Linked DNA regions of Rattus norvegicus. The protein of the gene in region 1 binds, or shares a complex with, the protein of each later gene. Links are inferred from orthologs where the notes say so. Each region holds a gene or a part of one and is shown on either strand. Other genes may lie near its edges.

What was found.
Region 2: Chd5 (region 1) and Cdk2ap2 share a complex: the UniProt entries of both Homo sapiens proteins name them as parts of the nucleosome remodeling and deacetylase (NuRD) repressor complex. The link is inferred for Rattus norvegicus from reciprocal best matches to the Homo sapiens genes CHD5 and CDK2AP2.

Annotation. Positions count from the first base shown.
Region 1 is NC_086023.1:168,129,284-168,134,493, forward strand, and holds the start of Chd5 (chromodomain-helicase-DNA-binding protein 5), read left to right. Parts: upstream 1-1,828; 5' UTR 1,829-1,850; coding exon 1,851-1,929; intron 1,930-4,512; exon of another isoform or gene 4,513-4,632; coding exon of another isoform or gene 4,633-4,660; intron 4,661-5,210. UniProt on the Homo sapiens protein: ATP-dependent chromatin-remodeling factor that binds DNA through histones and regulates gene transcription. May specifically recognize and bind trimethylated 'Lys-27' (H3K27me3) and non-methylated 'Lys-4' of histone H3.
Region 2 is NC_086019.1:210,818,876-210,823,647, forward strand, and holds Cdk2ap2 (cyclin-dependent kinase 2-associated protein 2), read left to right. Parts: upstream 1-2,060; 5' UTR 2,061-2,136; coding exon 2,137-2,218; intron 2,219-2,526; coding exon 2,527-2,627; intron 2,628-2,714; coding exon 2,715-2,847; intron 2,848-3,214; coding exon 3,215-3,282; 3' UTR 3,283-3,472; coding exon of another isoform or gene 3,473-3,507; 3' UTR 3,508-3,729; downstream 3,730-4,772. UniProt on the Homo sapiens protein: Acts as a component of the histone deacetylase NuRD complex which participates in the remodeling of chromatin.

The DNA of each region.
Region 1 (5,210 bases):
TGTTCAATTGAGCTTGGGCTTTTCTTTCCTGGACCCTTAGTGGTCAGGGGTCAGGGAGACAAGCGGTCTGGGGAGAGCCAGCGAGCCGCCCCCCCCCCCCCCGGGAGGATAGAGACTCAAGCCTCAGCAGACTGAGGCTCTCTCCCTGGCAGGAAACAAGGAAACAGCCCAGTGGACCATTCGGATCCTTAGCTATCTTACTCCTGATGGCTGGTCCTTTTGCCTTGTGCAGGGGACCTCTACTGTCCTGGGAAGTGTAAAAGTGATCTGTGACACAGAGGGAGAGTCCTAGTGTCCTGTCTGTCCATCCTGAGAGGCTGGGCAGACCTGGCTTTGCTCAGGAACGAGTGAAGGAAAGGTTTTCTTTGGGGTGTCCCCACAATTTGTACAGCATGAGAAGAAAGCTTTAGCAAAGGCTCTTGCAACCCTTACGAACTGTCGAACTGTCTCGGGGCAGCCTGGTGACTGCAGCCATCTCAAGAGATCTTGTCTTGTACCGAGGACACTCAAACTGCTACAGATCATATGGTTCCCCAAAGGTTCTAAGACGGGGAAATCCCTCCTGGTGACAGCTTTGGACACTAGAAACTGTTGCTCTATATGGCTCAACTGGTCAGCTCAGTCCTGTGCTCCTACCCTCTCAGAGCACCCAGGACCTGCTCCTGCTGGCAGCAGTGAGGTCCACTCCCTCAGCGTGTGGACAGAAGCAGGACACGAGGATGACCCACACTCTACAGGACTGGAGAACTGGCAACCTCCTGCTAGCTCAGGCCCCCACAACTTCTGTGCTCTTAAAGTTGCTGTGAGGCTGCACCCCGTTGAAAGCTCTCATTTAAAATTCTAGTCTTGTTCCCCAGGGCTCCAGCAAAGGCATCAGCATCGAGCTTCACCTTTAACAAGCCGGGCTGGCAGCCGCCAACCCTTCCGCTAGGCGACAGGTGTCCTGAGTGGCAGTCCAGGGCACAGACCATACAGAGCCCCAGGGAACTGGATGTGTTTGAGCTGGACACAGCCCAGTTCTGAAAAGAGAGCATGTGGGGGGTGAGAAGCCACGGAATTTTCTGGATAAATCGTACCCACTGTCACCAGAGTGACCCTTAAGTGTGAGCCACATTTTCTTGGACTTCTCTTCTGAAAGGGGTTTAAAAACGTGATAGCCTGAATCCGAGGTGGGGTGAGTCCGCTTCGGAAAAGTGGGGCAGTTTATGGCTCACCACCCATCCGGCCTCTCGGGCCCAAGTCCCTTCGCGGGCAGGGTGGCAACAGCTGGCTGGCCCTGCCTGGGGTGTGCTCGGGGATCACCGCCTGGACTCCCCCTGCGCCCTTGCCATCGAGCCCCCGCAGCCAGCTCTGCTGTCGTGTCTTGGGTCCGGCGGGCACCTGGACGGCTCCCGGCACCCGCCCCTCACCGCGCGCTCACCCAGCTGCCCAAGACTAGTCCCCCCAACTTGTTCTCCGCTGTTAACTAGTCGCGCTGGCGGAACGATGGGATGGGGTTGCCACAGCAACCAGACTGGACGTCACAATCCGGGCATGTGTGCCGCCCCCCCGCCGTGCCGCCGTGCCGCGGGCGCTGCCGCCGCCACCCTCGGCCGGCTGCGGGACTCGCGCTGCGGGGCGCGGTGGGCGGAGCGGCCCGGGCTTGGCGGGTGCGGGCAGAGGCGGCCGAGAGCTTGCGGGGTCGACACGGGGGGGTGGAGGTTTGGGGGGCGGGGGGGGCCGGCGGCCGCCATCTTCTCGCCGAGACCGCCTCGCCCGCCGCGCGGGTCCGTCCGGCAGCGCACGGGTTAAGGCTGGCACCGCGCCCGGCGGGAGGGGGGCGCCCACCTCCCCTCCCCCCCGCGCCGGGCATGCGGGGCCCGCTGGGCACCGAGGAGGAGCTGCCGCGGCTGTTCGCGGAGGAGATGGAGAACGAGGAGGAGATGTCAGGTGAGGGGGCGCGGGACCTGCGGGCCCGGGACGCGGGAGGGGCGCGGGGCTGCGGGCTGCGCTCCCGCCCTGCTGGCGCCGCGCTGGCCAAGGGCGCAGGGCCGGGCGAGCTCCGGGGCGCGGCGCGCGGGGCGGGGTGCGCCGAGGACCCCCGGGCGAAGCCGTGGCGGGGGCCTGCGCCGGCTGCCGAGCGGGAGGGGGCGCGGCGAGCCGGGGTCAGCCCGCGTGCCCTTGAAGGCGGCGGGAAGCGCGCGCCGCGGGCGGGGCGAGGACGGGCGGCGCGTGGGGAGCTGGCGATGCCCAAGCCTGGGCGCGCGGGCTCCGCTACCGGCGCCTGACAGTCGCTCCCCAGCACTTTGCCCGGGCCGCCCTGGGTGCTAGGCACGCTGGTGCCCGCCGGGTTCCCAGCCCACCCTGCTTCCTTGCCTGTGGGCCTGACGCCCCAGGGCCACCGCCCCTGCCCTTGCCAGCTGCCTCTCTGAATTCAGCCTCCTTCGTGTTTGTGCCTCAGGGGTTACCTTGCAGGATTTTTCAGTTAACTGGCTCCCGTCCTGGCAGGGCCTCACCCTGTCAGCTGCCCTCCCTCCCTTCTGAGGGGCATCACTTCTCAGCTTCTCAAGTCCATGGCTCCTCCTGGACTTCTGAGGTACTTGTGAGAGGTTAGAAGGGCCCCCTTCTCCCAGGAATCTCCATCCCTGAGGATGAGACTATTTAACACACTCACACCCCAGTTCCTATTCTGCAGGAGAGCGCACTACCTCCCAGGCTAGCATCTTCACCAAGGGCCACACCCCCTGCCCCCAGTCTCCTCCTCAGCTGGCTAGCTAGTTGGTTTAGTGGATTTGATGCTGTCACTGGGGCCTGCTGCTCAACCCCTCCCCTTTCATCCAGGCCGAGAGCCTTCCATGGGGTGAGGTGTGCAGGGGCATGGTTTCCTGTGGCTGACTGCTCCGAAGCAGCCAGACCCTCTGTCTCCGAGAGGAAGGCAGAAGGCCAAGCACATGAGAAACCTGTGGCTGTTTTCTACTTGGGAGCCTGATCTTCAAAGATCCCTGGTGGTGATTGGGGCGTGGCCTTTTGTGGCATTGGCAGGGGCCATGGACAACTGACTTTGGATCATCAGACCCGTTCCTGGGTCTTCAGTTACCCCAACTGTGTTCACCTCCTCCTTGCTGCCTGGTCTTGCTTGCATCAGGGTGTAGGGCTTGGTGAGGTCTTGGATGCCCCCAGAGAAGTGGACACGGTCCTGTCTTATTCCAAATCTCCAGAGTAGGTAGGGAGTTGTCCCTTGGGGCCTTCAGGAGTACTTCCAAGGCCATACAGAGGAGGAGACACTTGTTCCTGTCACTCTAGTCGGGAATTCAGGGCCCTGTCTACCAACCACTCCAACTGCTTTGCCCCCAGAGCCTGCCAGGATTCAGCACCTTGCCAGGCCTCTGGCCTAAGTTTCCTTCCCCCGCCCATAGGCTCCCTCCAGAACTTTCCAGTGGTCAATGACCTTCCTTCCTTAGACCCAGACCATTGGTCCACCTGGTCTTCCCATTGCTGCTTCTCCTCACACAGCCTCAATGGGCTCCAACTCCTGATGCCTGATAGTATTGCTATGAAACCCTGCAGGCACCATCTTGTCCTGGGGCCCTGGCTTTAGCCTAACCTTTACCGGGCTCCTGTCCTTTGCTTGCAAGTTTGTTCTGTCCACCTAGGTTCCAGCTGCATTGCATTATGGGACACCCTCTTTCTTCTTCCGGGGTTATTTGCTTGTAGCTTGTTCTGTTCTCTGAACCTTCTGTCAGCCTCCCCTCCCCCCCCAAGTAGAGTTCCTAATTGCAATCTGGACAGAGGATACCTGAGAGATTGTGAGAAGGGGTCTCTAGGTCACCCCTGGCTCCCTGGATGTGGGGACATCCTATCCCAGTCATGTCTGTTGGCAGTGTTGTCTGCCTCTCATGGCCTTCTGCAGTGTTGGGTGGAGTTCCAGGAAAGTGACCTCTTAGCCCCCTGGAGCCAGGTGGGAGGAACCAGTGTTCTGGGAGCCTCACTCAATCGTCAGAGGTTGGACTTGGGTTTGTTGGAGTCTGCGCAGTGTGTTTCCTACACAGTGCTTTGCTTTGGTCAGTTCTCTAGTTCTGTGGAGGGTGGGTGGGCCTGCTATGAGGAGGAGCGTCAGATAGGCTCCAACCTCTTCTGGCTTGGAGGTGTGCAGCTGCCAGATTCCCGGAGGAGTGTGCTGGTCAAAGGGAGGACTTAAGAGTTTGATGGATGGGGCTGGAGAGATGGCTCAGTGGTTAAGAGCACTGACTGTTCTTCCAGAGGTTCTGAGTTCAATTCCCAGCAACCACATGGTGACTCACAACCATCTGTAATGGGATCCGATGCCCTCTTCTGGTGTGTCTGAAGAGAGCAACAGTGTACTCATATCTATTAAATAAATAATCATTTTAAGAAAGAGTTGGATGGACGGAGGAAGCCTTAAGTTGCAGCAATGTTCTGGATAGTCCTGGGGTGTTGGGAAGTCCCTCAGTCCCTCTGCCTCAGTGTCCCCCACTTGTAGAATGAGTCTGGCACCAGCTACCTCATAGAAGGTTATTATGAGGTCTCGTAAGAGAGTACACGTAGAACGTCCAGGTCACAGTGCCCAACACGTCACAGCTGACCATGGCAGGTGCGACTAGCATCTAAAGGGGGAGCTGGCTCCCTAAGGACATGCTCCTGAGACTTGAACTCTTATCCAGTAAGTGCTGGTCAGGGGACGTGGCTGGGGAGGGACTGCCTGAGGAGGGGCTGAAGGCAGAGAGGAAAGGGCTTTTCCTCAGGGGTGTGCTCTGCTGGGCTGGAGGTCTCCACGGTTAATTGGAGAAACCATCAAACTGATGAGCCCAGCCTGTCTTCTTGCTGGTCCTGGGGAGACAGGTCCTTGTCTCTGTCCTACAGACCTCCCTGTGTGAGTGTTTCAGGTTCCTTGGGGTCAGAGGTGAGGATCTGACTCACCATGACTCGAAAAGGCCTGCACTTCTTCTTCTTCTTCTTTTTTTTTTTTTTTGGTTCTTTTTTTCGGAGCTGGGGACCGAACCCAGGGCCTTGCGCTTCCTAGGTAAGCGCTCTACCACTGAGCTAAATCCCCAGCCCCAAGGCCTGCACTTCTAAGCTGGCCCTCCATTTAGGGTAGGGATGTTCCAGGGAGCTTGACTCTTTCAACACCCACCCAAGCATCAAATTATCAACCTACAATACCAACCACTTAGCCATCCTGCCACCTATCCATCCACCCATGCACCCACGCA
Region 2 (4,772 bases), on another chromosome or scaffold:
GGAAGAAACCGGCACTGACTTCATGATCCTCCAGCCTCAGTTGATGTTATAAACTCTCACCACCATCCCCAGTCGATATTTTAATTACTCACTACAGAATTCTAAAGAGGCATGACTAAAAGTCAGGGTTTTGTTTTTAATTTAAGGAATTTTTTATTGTTTGGCTTTGGTGTTTAAGATTTATTTTATGTATTTGAGTACACTGTTGCTGTCTTCAGATACACCAGAAGAGGGCACTGGATCCCATTAAAGATGGTTGTGAGCCACAATGTGGTTGCTGGGAATTGAACTCAAAACTTTTGGAAGAACAGTCAGCACTCTTTTTTTTTTTTTTTTTTTTTGGTTCTTTTTTTCGGAGCTGGGGACCGAACCCAGGGCCTTGCGCTTCCTAGGTAAGCGCTCTACCACTGAGCTAAATCCCCAGCCCAATAGTCAGCACTCTTAACCGCTGAGGCATCTTTTTGGCCTTTTGTTTTTCAATAGTCTTAAAAAGGGAGATTTATTTAGTTGAGAGTGGTGGTACATGCCTTTAATCAAAGCACTTAGGAAGCAGAAGAGGATCTCGGTGAGTTTAAGGCCAGCCTGGTCTATATATTGAGTTTCAGGTTAACCAGAGCTAGATAGTGAGACCCTCTCTCAGAAAAAAAAATATATATATATGTCTAGGGTGTTTTCCCAGACTGTATGTTTGTGTACCACATGTTTGCTTAATGTCCACTAAGAACAGAAAAGGATATTGGGCCCACTGGAAATGCAGTTACAAATGGTTCTGAGGCACTGTGTAAATGCTGCGAATTCTAACCTGGGTCCTCTAGAAGAGCAGCCTGCCTTCTTTCCTGCTAAGCCATCTCTGCAGCCACTTTTTTCTGCTTTTTTTAAAAAGAGAGTTGGAGCTAAAGGCATGGCTCAGCAATTCTGAAGACATAGATGCAGGCATATACACAAAATAGATCTTTTTTTTTAATTTTAAAGTGAATTGATTTCAAGGAAATAGGAATGAGATGGCCAGACCCAGGTAGGAGTTTCATTAATGAAGTCAGAACAATAATCAACTGTGCTTCCACCCATATAGGGCCGACTCTCTTCTCTATTTCTCTGCCCACTTCCTAGTTTATCGTCCAGGTATTATTATCCTCATGTTTCATACGAGGAAACTGAAGCATATTAAGACAAGAATCTGTGGCGAGTGCCTGTAATCCTTAGCATTTGGGAGACAGAGCATCAGGAGTTCAAGGTCATCCTTGACTACACAGGGAGTTCGCGTTCTGACAGGACTACTTGAGACCTTGTCTCAATCCCATCCAACCCGCCAAAAGGAGAACCCAGGAGGAAACCATCAATGAGGTGCTGAGATTTTAGCCAAGATCTTGACCCGGGTCCTGACTTGACCTAACGCAGTCCTTCAGTGGAGAAGGTGGGAGACTTAGGGTTCAGGCCTTGAGCAGTGTCGTCAGCTGCCTTGTACCCACCTGCCTACTAGACATAAGGTGTAAACCAACCTAGAGAAAGAGCTTGGTAAAACCTTTGGTGAAGGAACCGTTGCCATGGGAACAAATACAGGCCTGAGGCGCGCGCGTGCGCAGAGGCGAAGGGGGGGCACCGAACCGGTTAAAGGTGACGTAAAACGCTCCGGGTAGGGCGGAGGGTTCATACTGGGGGAGCCGTGGCCTTGTGAGGGAAGTCACGAGGCGGTGAGAACTAAGTGTGTTCGGCGGCCGGCCACACACTACCGGAGCAAACCGCGGGGACCAGACTGGCCCGCTGCGGAGGCCCCGCCTCTCGGACCTCGGGACTAATCGGATTGAAAGCGCGCCGGCCCCGGGCCCCGAACTCGCCAATTGAGGAGGACGGCGGTCACCGCCCAATCCGGGGCAGACAGGTGCGAGGTCCGGAAGGTGGAGGCCAATCGGAAGCGGTTGCGGCCTGCAGGGGCAAGATTCAGCCAATGAGGAGGCTCGAGTGACAGCTGAGCACACCAATCGAGAGTGAGGAACGGTCGTGCCCGCCCGCCCTTCCGGCCGGAGCTCTATTTACCAGGGGCGTGCAGATCGCTTGCCAATCAGAGTGCGGCTGAGCTGCCGGACAGCCAACCCCAGAGGAGCGGCCGGCTGGCGGCCGCCGCACTAAGGAGTTGGGATGTCCTACAAACCTATCGCGCCCGCCCCCAGCAGTACCCCCGGCTCCAGCACCCCCGGGCCAGGCACCCCGGTCCCTACAGGTGAGGCGCCAACTCCACCGTTGCTCGTCTTATTCGGGCAGTCGAGGTCTTGTAGAGAAACGGCTCGAGTTTTGCAATACAGGGCCTGCTAGGCGAGCCTGGCTCAGCCTCAGTTTGCTAGCCTGAGAAGTGGGCGTGGTCACGTAGAGATTGTAGGTGGAGCGCAAGGGGGAGGAGTGTGTCTCTGAAGTTGTTCAGAGTGGAATGAAGAAGCATGCCTTTGGAGGTGGTCAGGAAAACGGTCCTGGGCTTGGAAATCTGTAAGGAGGTCCTTGTCACACTCTAACCTCTTACTCGTGTCGTTGCAGCCGGAAGTGTCCCATCGCCATCGGGCTCAGTGCCAGGAGCTGCAGCTCCTTTCAGACCACTGTTTAACGACTTTGGACCGCCGTCCATGGGGTATGTACAGGTGAGTGTGGCTAAGAGCTTGCTTATGGATAAGGACAGGAGATGCCCTCGGGGTCTGAGGTCACAACTGTATTTTCTTTTGACACAGGCAATGAAGCCACCCGGTTCCCAGGGCTCTCAGAGCACCTACACGGACCTGCTGTCTGTCATAGAGGAGATGGGCAAAGAGATCCGACCCACCTATGCTGGTAGCAAGAGTGCCATGGAGCGCCTGAAGAGAGGTAGTGAAGCCAAAGCCCACCCTTGTTCTGCCCAGGACACAGACATTAAGAATTATGAATATTAAGACATTTCAGTAAGGATGGAGGATATCTAGAGTCAGTTCAGGACATTTGGGCCAGCCTAGATTAGAACAGAACCTGTCCAGGAAGGTGTTTGAAATGAACTTGAGTCAGTGTTCAAGAAGGTGCTCGGGAACTCAGGGTGAATGTGAGAATTAGCCAAACCCTTAATCTCATCCAGCCACACTAGATTAGGGGTGATCTTGCTGAACCGTGAAGGGCGGGAAGTGTCTGCTCTGCAGGGTGACTGTGGGAGGTTTCTGAGGCCCTGCTTCTTACGTCCCCATCCTACCCCGCCCCACCCCAGGTATCATCCATGCTCGGGCACTAGTCAGAGAGTGCTTGGCAGAGACAGAACGCAATGCCCGCACGTAACAGGAAGCACCTTGACCTCTCCGTCGGGACCTTTCCGGCCACTGCAGAGCACCTGCTTCTCCCTGGCCTTTGCCCCAAGTTGCTTCCTATCCTGGGCTTCCTGTCCTGTGTTCCTTGGTGGGCACCTTTCAGGAACCAGGTAGCAGATCTTCATCCAGTTGGCTGTACAGACTGGTCTCTCCCTCTGCAGGAGTGCTGAGAGGCCACCGTGAGTCCCATCTGTGACCTGATCACAGTGCTGATCTAACTGGAGCTTCCTCTCTGTGGTCCCACCACATGGCACTTACTCCTTAACTCTTAGTCCAGGCCGCCTCCTCCCTCTCCAACAGGGGTGCAGAAGGCCTCCCTGCCTCATCTCTGGGGCCACAGCTGACTCTTTTTTTGGTGTGTCTTTTACTAAATATGCCCTTTTTATATAAATAAAAGATGATTTGGAGCCATTCTCTCGGCTCTGAGCCTTTCTGTGTGTGATTCCTCTGGGGGAAGCCTGCTTGAACCTATGCCTTCCCACCCTGTCCTTTGCCACCTCCAGCTCTGTGCCTTCCTGCTGGGGGAGTAGCTGAAAGGCCAGAGCACCAGTGGTGGGGAAGTCTGCATAGGGAGGTGCCACCAGAGGGCAGTGTAGGGCCTTGGCTGCCTTCACAGCTGGAGGTACTGTTGGGCAGCCTGAGCCTGAAGGGCCCTTGCTCTGTACTGTTGGGCAGCCTGAGCCTGAAGGGCCCTTGCTCTGGATTGGCAGGCATGCCTGGCAGGGTGGAGATACCAGTTCACCGAAGTCCCACCTTTGAATGCCTTAATGCCCCTACACTACCCTCCACTTTAAACTATCTTTGGAAGGCTCCGGATTCGCCAGGTCTCTGACTCCTTAGGGAGGCAGTTAGAGGCTCCCTTCCCCCCAGCACCTGCAATCCACTGTCCCGACAACTTCCACCAGGCTGGGTGTGGCTCCATGAGCCAGCTATGGGTGTCTCAGCCTTTGTACAGAGTCAGAGCAGTTAGATGGGTGGCCGAATTTGAGAACCTAGCAGACATAGTAGAGAAGGACTTTGGCCCCATTAAGGGGATGGCCTCTACCCCCCTATGTAGCTAAGTAACCCTGTAATGCCAACCCTAGGCAGAAGCAAGTGAGAGCTTCCAACTTCTGTCTAACTGGGGTACAGCATTTCCTCTAACCTGGGATCCAGCCAGGAGGGCTGCCCTGGCTGGGCCCGGGTGGGAAATGAAACCGAGAGTCTTTGGGGTGTACAGACAGCACAGAAATAAAGAACTGGCATTTGGAGACCGGCCACTTCCCAGTCTGCCTTGAAGAAGGAAGGCAGGGACCAGCCCTGCTGCACCGCGGGCGGGGCTGCCCCCGACCCTGCCGGGGTGGGGAGGACTAGCCCAGGAAGGGGGCGGGGCGGCCGCAGTGACGCGGCGGGGAGGGACAGCAGGGGCGCCGGCGGACAGACTGGGGGAAAAAGGTCGGGGCTATGGGCCGGCTCCGCGCC